Macaca fascicularis: one gene and its partner. The protein of the gene in region 1 purifies or fractionates together with the protein of each later gene. This does not show direct contact. Links are inferred from orthologs where the notes say so. Each region holds a gene or a part of one and is shown on either strand. Other genes may lie near its edges. The genes, in order: MYO1E and OSTF1.

Region 1 (3,823 bases):
AATATTTGTAATACTATTTTTTCTGATTCAGTTGCGTTGGAGGGGGTTATATTCAAAATCAAGATTTATTTTTGGCTGTCCTTTTCCTTGCCTTACACTCAATTGTGTTATTACCATTACTTGACTCTCCTTTCCCCCATCTTTGACATGTGCACTCACACACGCACACCATCACCTCTGCTCTCTCCCCTGCCCCAAACGCATACATCCCCATCTAGCCCTGACATGCAAATACTTTCACAAAAGTTGGTTTTTAAAATCTGGCTGGGCACAGTGGCTCATGCCTGTAATCTCAACACGTTGGGAGGCTGAGTTGGGAAGATGACTTGAGGCCAGGAGTTCAAGACTGGGCAAGTCAGTTAGACCTCATCTCTACAAAAAAATTTAAAATTAGCTGGGTGTGGTGGTACGCGCCTGTTGTCCTAGCTACTCAGGAGGCTGAGGTCAGAGGATCACTTGAGCCCAGGAGTTCAAGGTTACAGTGTGCTATGATTGTACCACTGCAGTCCAGCCTGGGCAACAGATCAAGAAAGACCTTTTCTCTTAAAAAAAAAAAAAAAAAACAGGAAAAGGAAAAAGAAAAAAAGAAAAACTACCATGTGGTTTTACCTTAATAGTAAATGTGCTGAATATACAAAATTACCTATTTGCTTTAACAACCCCCATCATGGCTGGGCGCGGTGGCTCACGCCTGTAATCCCAGCACTTTGGGAGGCTGAGGCGGGTGAATCAAGAGGTCAGGAGATCAAGACCATCCTGGCTAACACGGTGAAACCCTGTCTTTACTGAAAATACAAAAAAAATTAGCCGGGTGTGGTGGCGGGTGCCTGTAGTCCCAGCTACTCGGGAGGCTGAGACAGGAGAATGGGGCTTGAACCCGGGAGGCGGAGCTTGCAGTGAGCCGAGATTGCGCCACTGGACTCCAGCCTGGGCAACAGAGCGAGACTCTGTCTCAAAAAAAAAAAAAACAAAACAAAACCCACATCAGACACCATGGGGTTTGTTTTTGTTTTGTGTTACATGTATCCATGTCTTTTGGCTTTTTCATTCAGGGTTGTTTTGTGTGTTTTTCTGTTGTTGTTATTGTTTGGTTTTGTTTGGTTTTTATTCTCTCCTCACCTATGTTATCAAGGTTTTTTTTCTTGAACCTCCCTAATTTCTAACCCCCTGGACTTTTAAAAAGAAATCTAAAATCCAGCGAATCTTTGAGATAGTCTCTAGGAAGTTGGGAATCGTTTGCCTCTTCATCCTTTCTGAGTCACAAGTGTATTTTCTGTGATACGCCCAAAATAGTTCTGGGAAAGAAGAAGGAAAAGAGACTTACTCAGAAACCCAATACACAAGATAAGAAATATCAATGGATATTCTTACAACAGGCAACTAACTGCAGGGCTCAGATTTTAAACTTTCTGTCCAGTTGCTAATCTGTGCATTCCACTTGGGGTTTAGAAATCTGTCCTTATGTCCATTGTATACGGCACTGAAGCCGGGGGAATTACGTGGCCCCTCCCCTGGTGTCTGGAGTTTGGGTTGTTGTTTCTGCACAGATGGAGCTATGAGAAGGAGAGAAGTTGAGTGGCAGGAGAGGATAGGTCTGGCTCCCAAGCATATACCCGGCTAAACAGAGACAACAAATCAAGCCCAGCTGCCTTCAAACCACATTGGCTTGTTTACTTCTGGAACATTTTTGCAATGACTATTCATCATCTTTACTTTGGATTCTTATTGGTTGATTTTCTTTTTTTCCTAGAGAGTCATGGAAGCCACTCTCAAGGTAGATGAAAAGGTTTCCTACCATTTTACAAGTGGATCAAATGCAGGTTTACAGAGAAAGCTTTGCATGTCTAAATGAGGAGCCTGGCAGAGCCTGAAAGACCTAGGTTCACTTTCTAGCCCCACCCAGTCTTAGTTCCAGTTTTCTCATCTGTAAAACGGAGATGACAGAGTATGTGGCTCATGTAGCTGTGATGTTGAATGAAACTGCGTGGAAATCATCTGGGTAACTTCTGCCCCACAGTGGGCACTTGGCTCACTACAGCTGTTTGTTGTCGCCTTTATTATTCCAAAGCCTGGCTGAGGTGCAGCCTCAGCATTCATTGGTAAAATGGCCCAACTCTCAAGACCTGGCAGAGGCTGATGTGGCCCCTAAACAGCTCCAGCCCTCCTGGGCAAATCCAAGTCCTAACTAGCACACCTCAAGTCCAGCTCCAATCACTGTGGTTATTATCCTCGCTCGGCTGCTCCGTGGTGAATCCTGAGACAGGAAGTCTGTATTTTCTTGGAACTGAAAGTAGAGCAGCCCTCCTTCCACAGCAGCACAAGCCCTGCTCCTGCAGAAACTGGAAAATTCTGTTTAGAGGCTGCATGCCGAAATGCCGCACCAAACAACAGCAACAGCTCCACCTACTCACTTGATCTGGCTTCCTAATAATATCTTTGGATGAAGGTGGGGGATAAGTGGAGAAGCGCTGAATCGCTCATTTGATTCTCACAGAGACTGTAGCAAGGCAGGGCAAGGTCCAACTGAATACACTCAAATTCTATTTCCCATTGTTTTCCATTAAAAGAAAAAAGGTATAGGTCATTTTATAGTGGGAGATAAAAAACATGCCACAGTAAGCATTTCACGTATTTGTTCATGAATCAGAGAAGTTGCTTCCTGTGCATGTCATTGTCTAAACTGAGTGTCCCTGGAATGACAAGAAAAGTAGTGTTCAGGGATTGGGGCTTGGGGCTTGGCTCACATTTGTCTTCTCTCCATTCACAGCTATTTCTTTTAGAAGAGATGAGAGAGAGAAAGTATGATGGATATGCTCGAGTGATACAGAAATCATGGAGGAAATTTGTGGCCCGGAAGAAATATGTTCAAATGAGAGAAGAAGGTATTTTAGCAATTTTGTTTCATTCATTTTAACAAATCTGAAGAGTAAATTTGAGCTTAAGTGAAGTTCTAAGTTCCATTTTATTTTGCATATAATGTCATGCTACAAATATTGCATCATTTAGAGTTTATTTGTATATTTTCACAGTATTTTCCTCCTTTTTCTGACTGACTTATCCTTCTTCCATCTTAACCCTCTTGGGAATTGTAGCCTCAGACATCTTACTGAACAAGAAGGAGAGAAGGAGAAACAGTATTAACAGGAACTTTATAGGGGATTACATTGGGATGGAAGAGCACCCAGAACTCCAGCAGTTCGTGGGCAAGAGGGAGAAGATTGATTTTGCAGACACAGTCACCAAGTACGACAGGAGGTTCAAGGTACGTGCTGACTGTCCGCCTCTGAGATCACCAGATTCCTTACTTTTTTAAAAAAATAACTTGTTATTTTGCTTTTGTTGTTACCAAAGCAGAACATGGTCATTGTAGAAAAATTTAGAAAAAATATAAACCGAAAGAAAAATCAGTACCTATGCCCAGAAACAATCACTGTTAACATTCTGTGTATATCTATATCTTTCAGAATGTTTTTATGAAAACATACATTTGTGTGTTTAGTTTTACAAAACTGAGATACATATTGCATGCTGTTTTATGTCCTGAGGTAGTTTTTTATTTGTTTGTTTGTTTAAATAATGCCAGGGAGAATTTTCAATAGTAATACAGGGAACAATATAAGTTATTTTACATGGCTTCATAGTATTCCATTTTACAGATGCCTTATTATTTTTAACCAATTTCTCATGAATCTATTTTTAGTGAGTTTTTCTTTTTTACTATCATAACTTCAATGAGCATCTTTTCACACATCTTTGTGTATCTATCTCTCCCCAAATATTTTTAGAAGAAACTGATAGGAGTGAAATCGTTGAATCAAAGGAT
Region 2 (3,823 bases), on another chromosome or scaffold:
AATGCTGATAAACTCAATCTTGCAGATCGTTTCTTAGACTAGCCCTTTCTTTTGTGATGGAGTAACACGACCTTGTTAATTCATGTTCGGGGCAGTGACGTTCATTAAATGCTTATCGTGGCAGTTTGGGGACCTTGAGAGAGGAGAGACACGGCTCCCGCCATGAAGCTGCTTCTAGCTGCAAGTGGGACAAATGGACAAAACACTTATTTAGTTGTCAGCAGAATAAAGTCAAAAGAGCACAGAATTGATAAACAAGGCTCCTGAGTTTTAATCCTTTTTCTTCCATTTCCTAATAACACTCCCTACTGATTCTAGGACAGCAGTAAACACACCTTCTTTTAGAGGCAGGTAGCTATGCTGATTGTTCTTTCTGAATACAGGAAGCAAAATAATCCCCCCGCCACCCACTCCTACATAAATACACACAAGAGACTCAAAATTACTTTTAGGCATCTTTAAAGCAGAGTGATCTACAAAATGTAAAAATGAACATCAAATGCTTTCTTTTGCATTTTTGTGCTTTGTTTATTGAATACTTGAGTAATATCAAGTATGCATTCAACTCAGGTATGCAGGTTTGTTTGTTTTTGTTTATACTTCCAGTTAATTACTAGGTTATTGCGTTATTGCCTGGCTTCCTTTCCCTTAACACCTAATTCAGCTTCATTTAATGCAAGAACTATCCATTTGATTTTCTGTTACTTTTTATCCACATTAAGTAAAGGAAACTGTGTTGAAGGCCCTGGTACTCCTGAAGCTGGGGGACTGTGGTGAATGAGTGGCTTCAGTAAATCATTTGTGTGGTAATTCAACATTGGGCTAACACTTTTTATTTTCAATCTAGTGGCTGAGCAGGCAGAATCTATTGACAATCCATTGCATGAAGCAGCAAAAAGAGGTAGGTGTGATTCTTTTTGACTGAGGTATACAGTACAGTAAAATGCACGGATTTCAATTAGTTTTGACAAGTGCATACACCCATGTAACCAACACTCAGATCAAGATCTGGAACATTTCTACCATCCTATAAAGTTCCCTTTGTACCTTCTCAGTTAAATCCCTGCCTTCCCCAGAGACAGTCTGTCCCAACATCTATTACCCTAGAGCAGTGTGATTTTAATTTTAAAATGTCAATCAAGAAACACTGTTGTGGGGAGACGCAAGTCGAAAGACATGGTCTGTGACTTCCAAAGCTCAACATCTGGCAGGGGAGAGAGAGATGTAACAGATCATTAAAATATGGTATGATAAGTACAGTAATTGAAATGTGTTTAACAGGCTGTAGAGGCCAGGGTGGGTAACTGGAGGGCAGAAGAATGGAAGGGTCTGGTGGGTACAGCATTTAGGAGAGCATTGGTGTGGTGAGCACTTGGCCAGGGAGGGCATAACAACAGGGATGAACCTGGGGAGGATCCTTGACCAAACAACTGTCAATCTTGTCTTGGGCTTTATTCTGTAGATCAGTAGTCCTCAGCTAGGGGTGATTCCTCTTTCACAAACCCTGAGGATATTTGGCAATATCTGGAGACGTGTTGACTGTCATGACTGGAGGGATGTTACTGGCATCTTTTGGGGAGAGGCAGGGGTTATTGCCACACATCCTACAGCACACAGGAGCACCCCCACAATAAATCCAACCCCAAATGCCAATGGGGTTGCTGCCAAGAAACCCTGCTATAGATAATGGGGAGTTTTTGTAAAGCCTCAGTGAGCTCCATTTCATTCAATTTTTAGATTTTTTTGGAAATCTGAATGTACACAAGGAAATTATTGGTTAGGATTGTGAAAAAGTAAAAGGAGTAAACTGACATTTTAAAAATTCTTTGTAAATTAGATACTTGGGACATTAGCCTGAGGATTTTAAATTAATAGTTATAGTTTAGTATATAAGAGCAGCAGCTTTGAGTAGGTTATTTAGCCTTTCTTATAGGAACTGAAGATGCATTGTAAATATGAATATGAATAGTATCTGCTTGTTCTTAGGTTTGATTGTTTTTTCCTCAATTTCCAGAATTTCACAAAGAAAAAATAATATATGTATATACACATACAAACACACACACACACATATATATTTTTTAACAGAATAGAAATACCTTAAGTATACCCATTTAGGCAACTCTTCCCATTAACCTATCATTAGAAACATTGATGTTAATACTTTACATTAATAACCTGGAAGTCAAAATGTACCATAATAAATGCATTAATGGGCAGGTCTTAATTTACTACTTACTGATTAATCCATTGCAAATGGAAATTTGTGCAGAATGAAACAGTGAAATTTATTTAAAAGCAAAATAAAAAGTGAAAGCTTTTTTTCTTGTGTTTTTGTAAATGTAAAATTCTTTCAGGCAACTTGAGCTGGTTGAGAGAGTGTTTGGACAACAGAGTGGGTGTTAATGGCTTAGACAAAGCTGGAAGCACTGCCTTGTACTGGGCTTGCCACGGGGGTCACAAAGGTATTCCATTTTGTTTGTTATATGTTTCTATGCTGCTGAAAATATGTTTCACCTACGGGAGCCAGATTTACAAAAAATGAGAAAGAAAAAGCATTGGCTATTGTTTTTGAATCCTTTAGAACAGCGGCCAAAAGCCTTGTTCCTGGAAGCTCTGTAGAACAGTGGGTAGAGTGTGGTCAGCCAGTCTCTCCGCATGGGCCCCTCTCGCTTGAAAGACTGGACACTTCCTTTCCTCTCTCAGGCTTAGAAAGGTTACTGGAAAACAGCAGTAATATCAAAACAAAACCGCTGTCTAATCTTACAGAAGAAAAGATCAGAATTGACTCCCTAGCTTAGCTTTTCACAAGGTCTGCTTTTATGATTTGCATTTTAAGTTTCATGCAAACTATTAGATTCAAGAGAAAGCCAACATTTGCCTAAGTTAGCGATTCCATTGATACTTTTTCTGTTATAATCAATAATAATGACAAAGTGAATTTTTAGATGTATTTTTTCCTGGCCAAAAATGTATTACCCACTGCTTTTCTACGTCTCTCTATAACAAAGGAAATAAACTCAACAACAAGAAGAAATGAAGATCTCAACAAATTAAATAGCAGTGCCAAAGGAAAATTTGTAACTGTCTCCTAAAAAGAAGCTTATCTTATTTCAGCTAATAAACATGTTAGTTATATGAATGAAAAGTATTATAATGAATGTAAAAATATTCCTGTGTCATATGAAAATGCAAAAGCCAAAACTATTAGAAAAAGTGTATTTTCCTAAATAATTCCACTTTTTAGATTCTTAAGTTTTTCTATTTTATAAATTTTAGAAAATGTGTTAACATTTTCTTGAAGGTTCTTCTAAAGAATCTCGCTTTTATAAAATTATTGTACCTAGATTTGTCAGGCTTCTAATTTTAATTCTTAAAAAAGTATCTTTTCTCTTTGAATTTCAGATATAGTAGAAATGCTATTTACTCAACCAAATATTGAACTGAACCAGCAGGTAAGACTGCTTATCTGAAAATTATTTAACACATACCTGCTTGTTCTCTTTAGTACAGAGCAACTTATGGGCATGTGAAGTATTGTCAAAATACTACAAGCACATAATTTAAAAATTATAATTGCACTAAAATTCAAATTGTCCACAGCCCCAAGTGCCAAACCCACTCCTCCTCAGATGTCACTTTCAGCTTTTAGCTCTTTCTTTGTGTACTTACCTTTGTCTTACCAAGGAATAGGCTGACGGAGCTATCTCTCTGTGCGTTATCTTCATGTGTACTTTGGCCTCCTGTTGGGTATGTGAAGGGTTAAGCTTGTCACTGCCCCAGCTCTCATCTTTCAGCACCCCAGCACCCAGCCTGTCCTCTG

What was found.
Region 2: the proteins of MYO1E (region 1) and OSTF1 purify together in Homo sapiens (co-immunoprecipitation; 3 studies listed by BioGRID and IntAct, counting the BioPlex papers as one, with this or other methods). This does not show direct contact. The link is inferred for Macaca fascicularis from reciprocal best matches to the Homo sapiens genes MYO1E and OSTF1.

The regions. Positions count from the first base shown.
Region 1 is NC_088381.1:35,649,007-35,652,829, reverse strand, and holds part of MYO1E (unconventional myosin-Ie), read left to right. Parts: intron 1-2,767; coding exon 2,768-2,882; intron 2,883-3,092; coding exon 3,093-3,262; intron 3,263-3,823. UniProt on the Homo sapiens protein: Actin-based motor molecule with ATPase activity. Unconventional myosins serve in intracellular movements. Their highly divergent tails bind to membranous compartments, which are then moved relative to actin filaments.
Region 2 is NC_088389.1:105,847,945-105,851,767, forward strand, and holds part of OSTF1 (osteoclast-stimulating factor 1), read left to right. Parts: intron 1-847; coding exon 848-901; intron 902-2,357; coding exon 2,358-2,465; intron 2,466-3,405; coding exon 3,406-3,455; intron 3,456-3,823.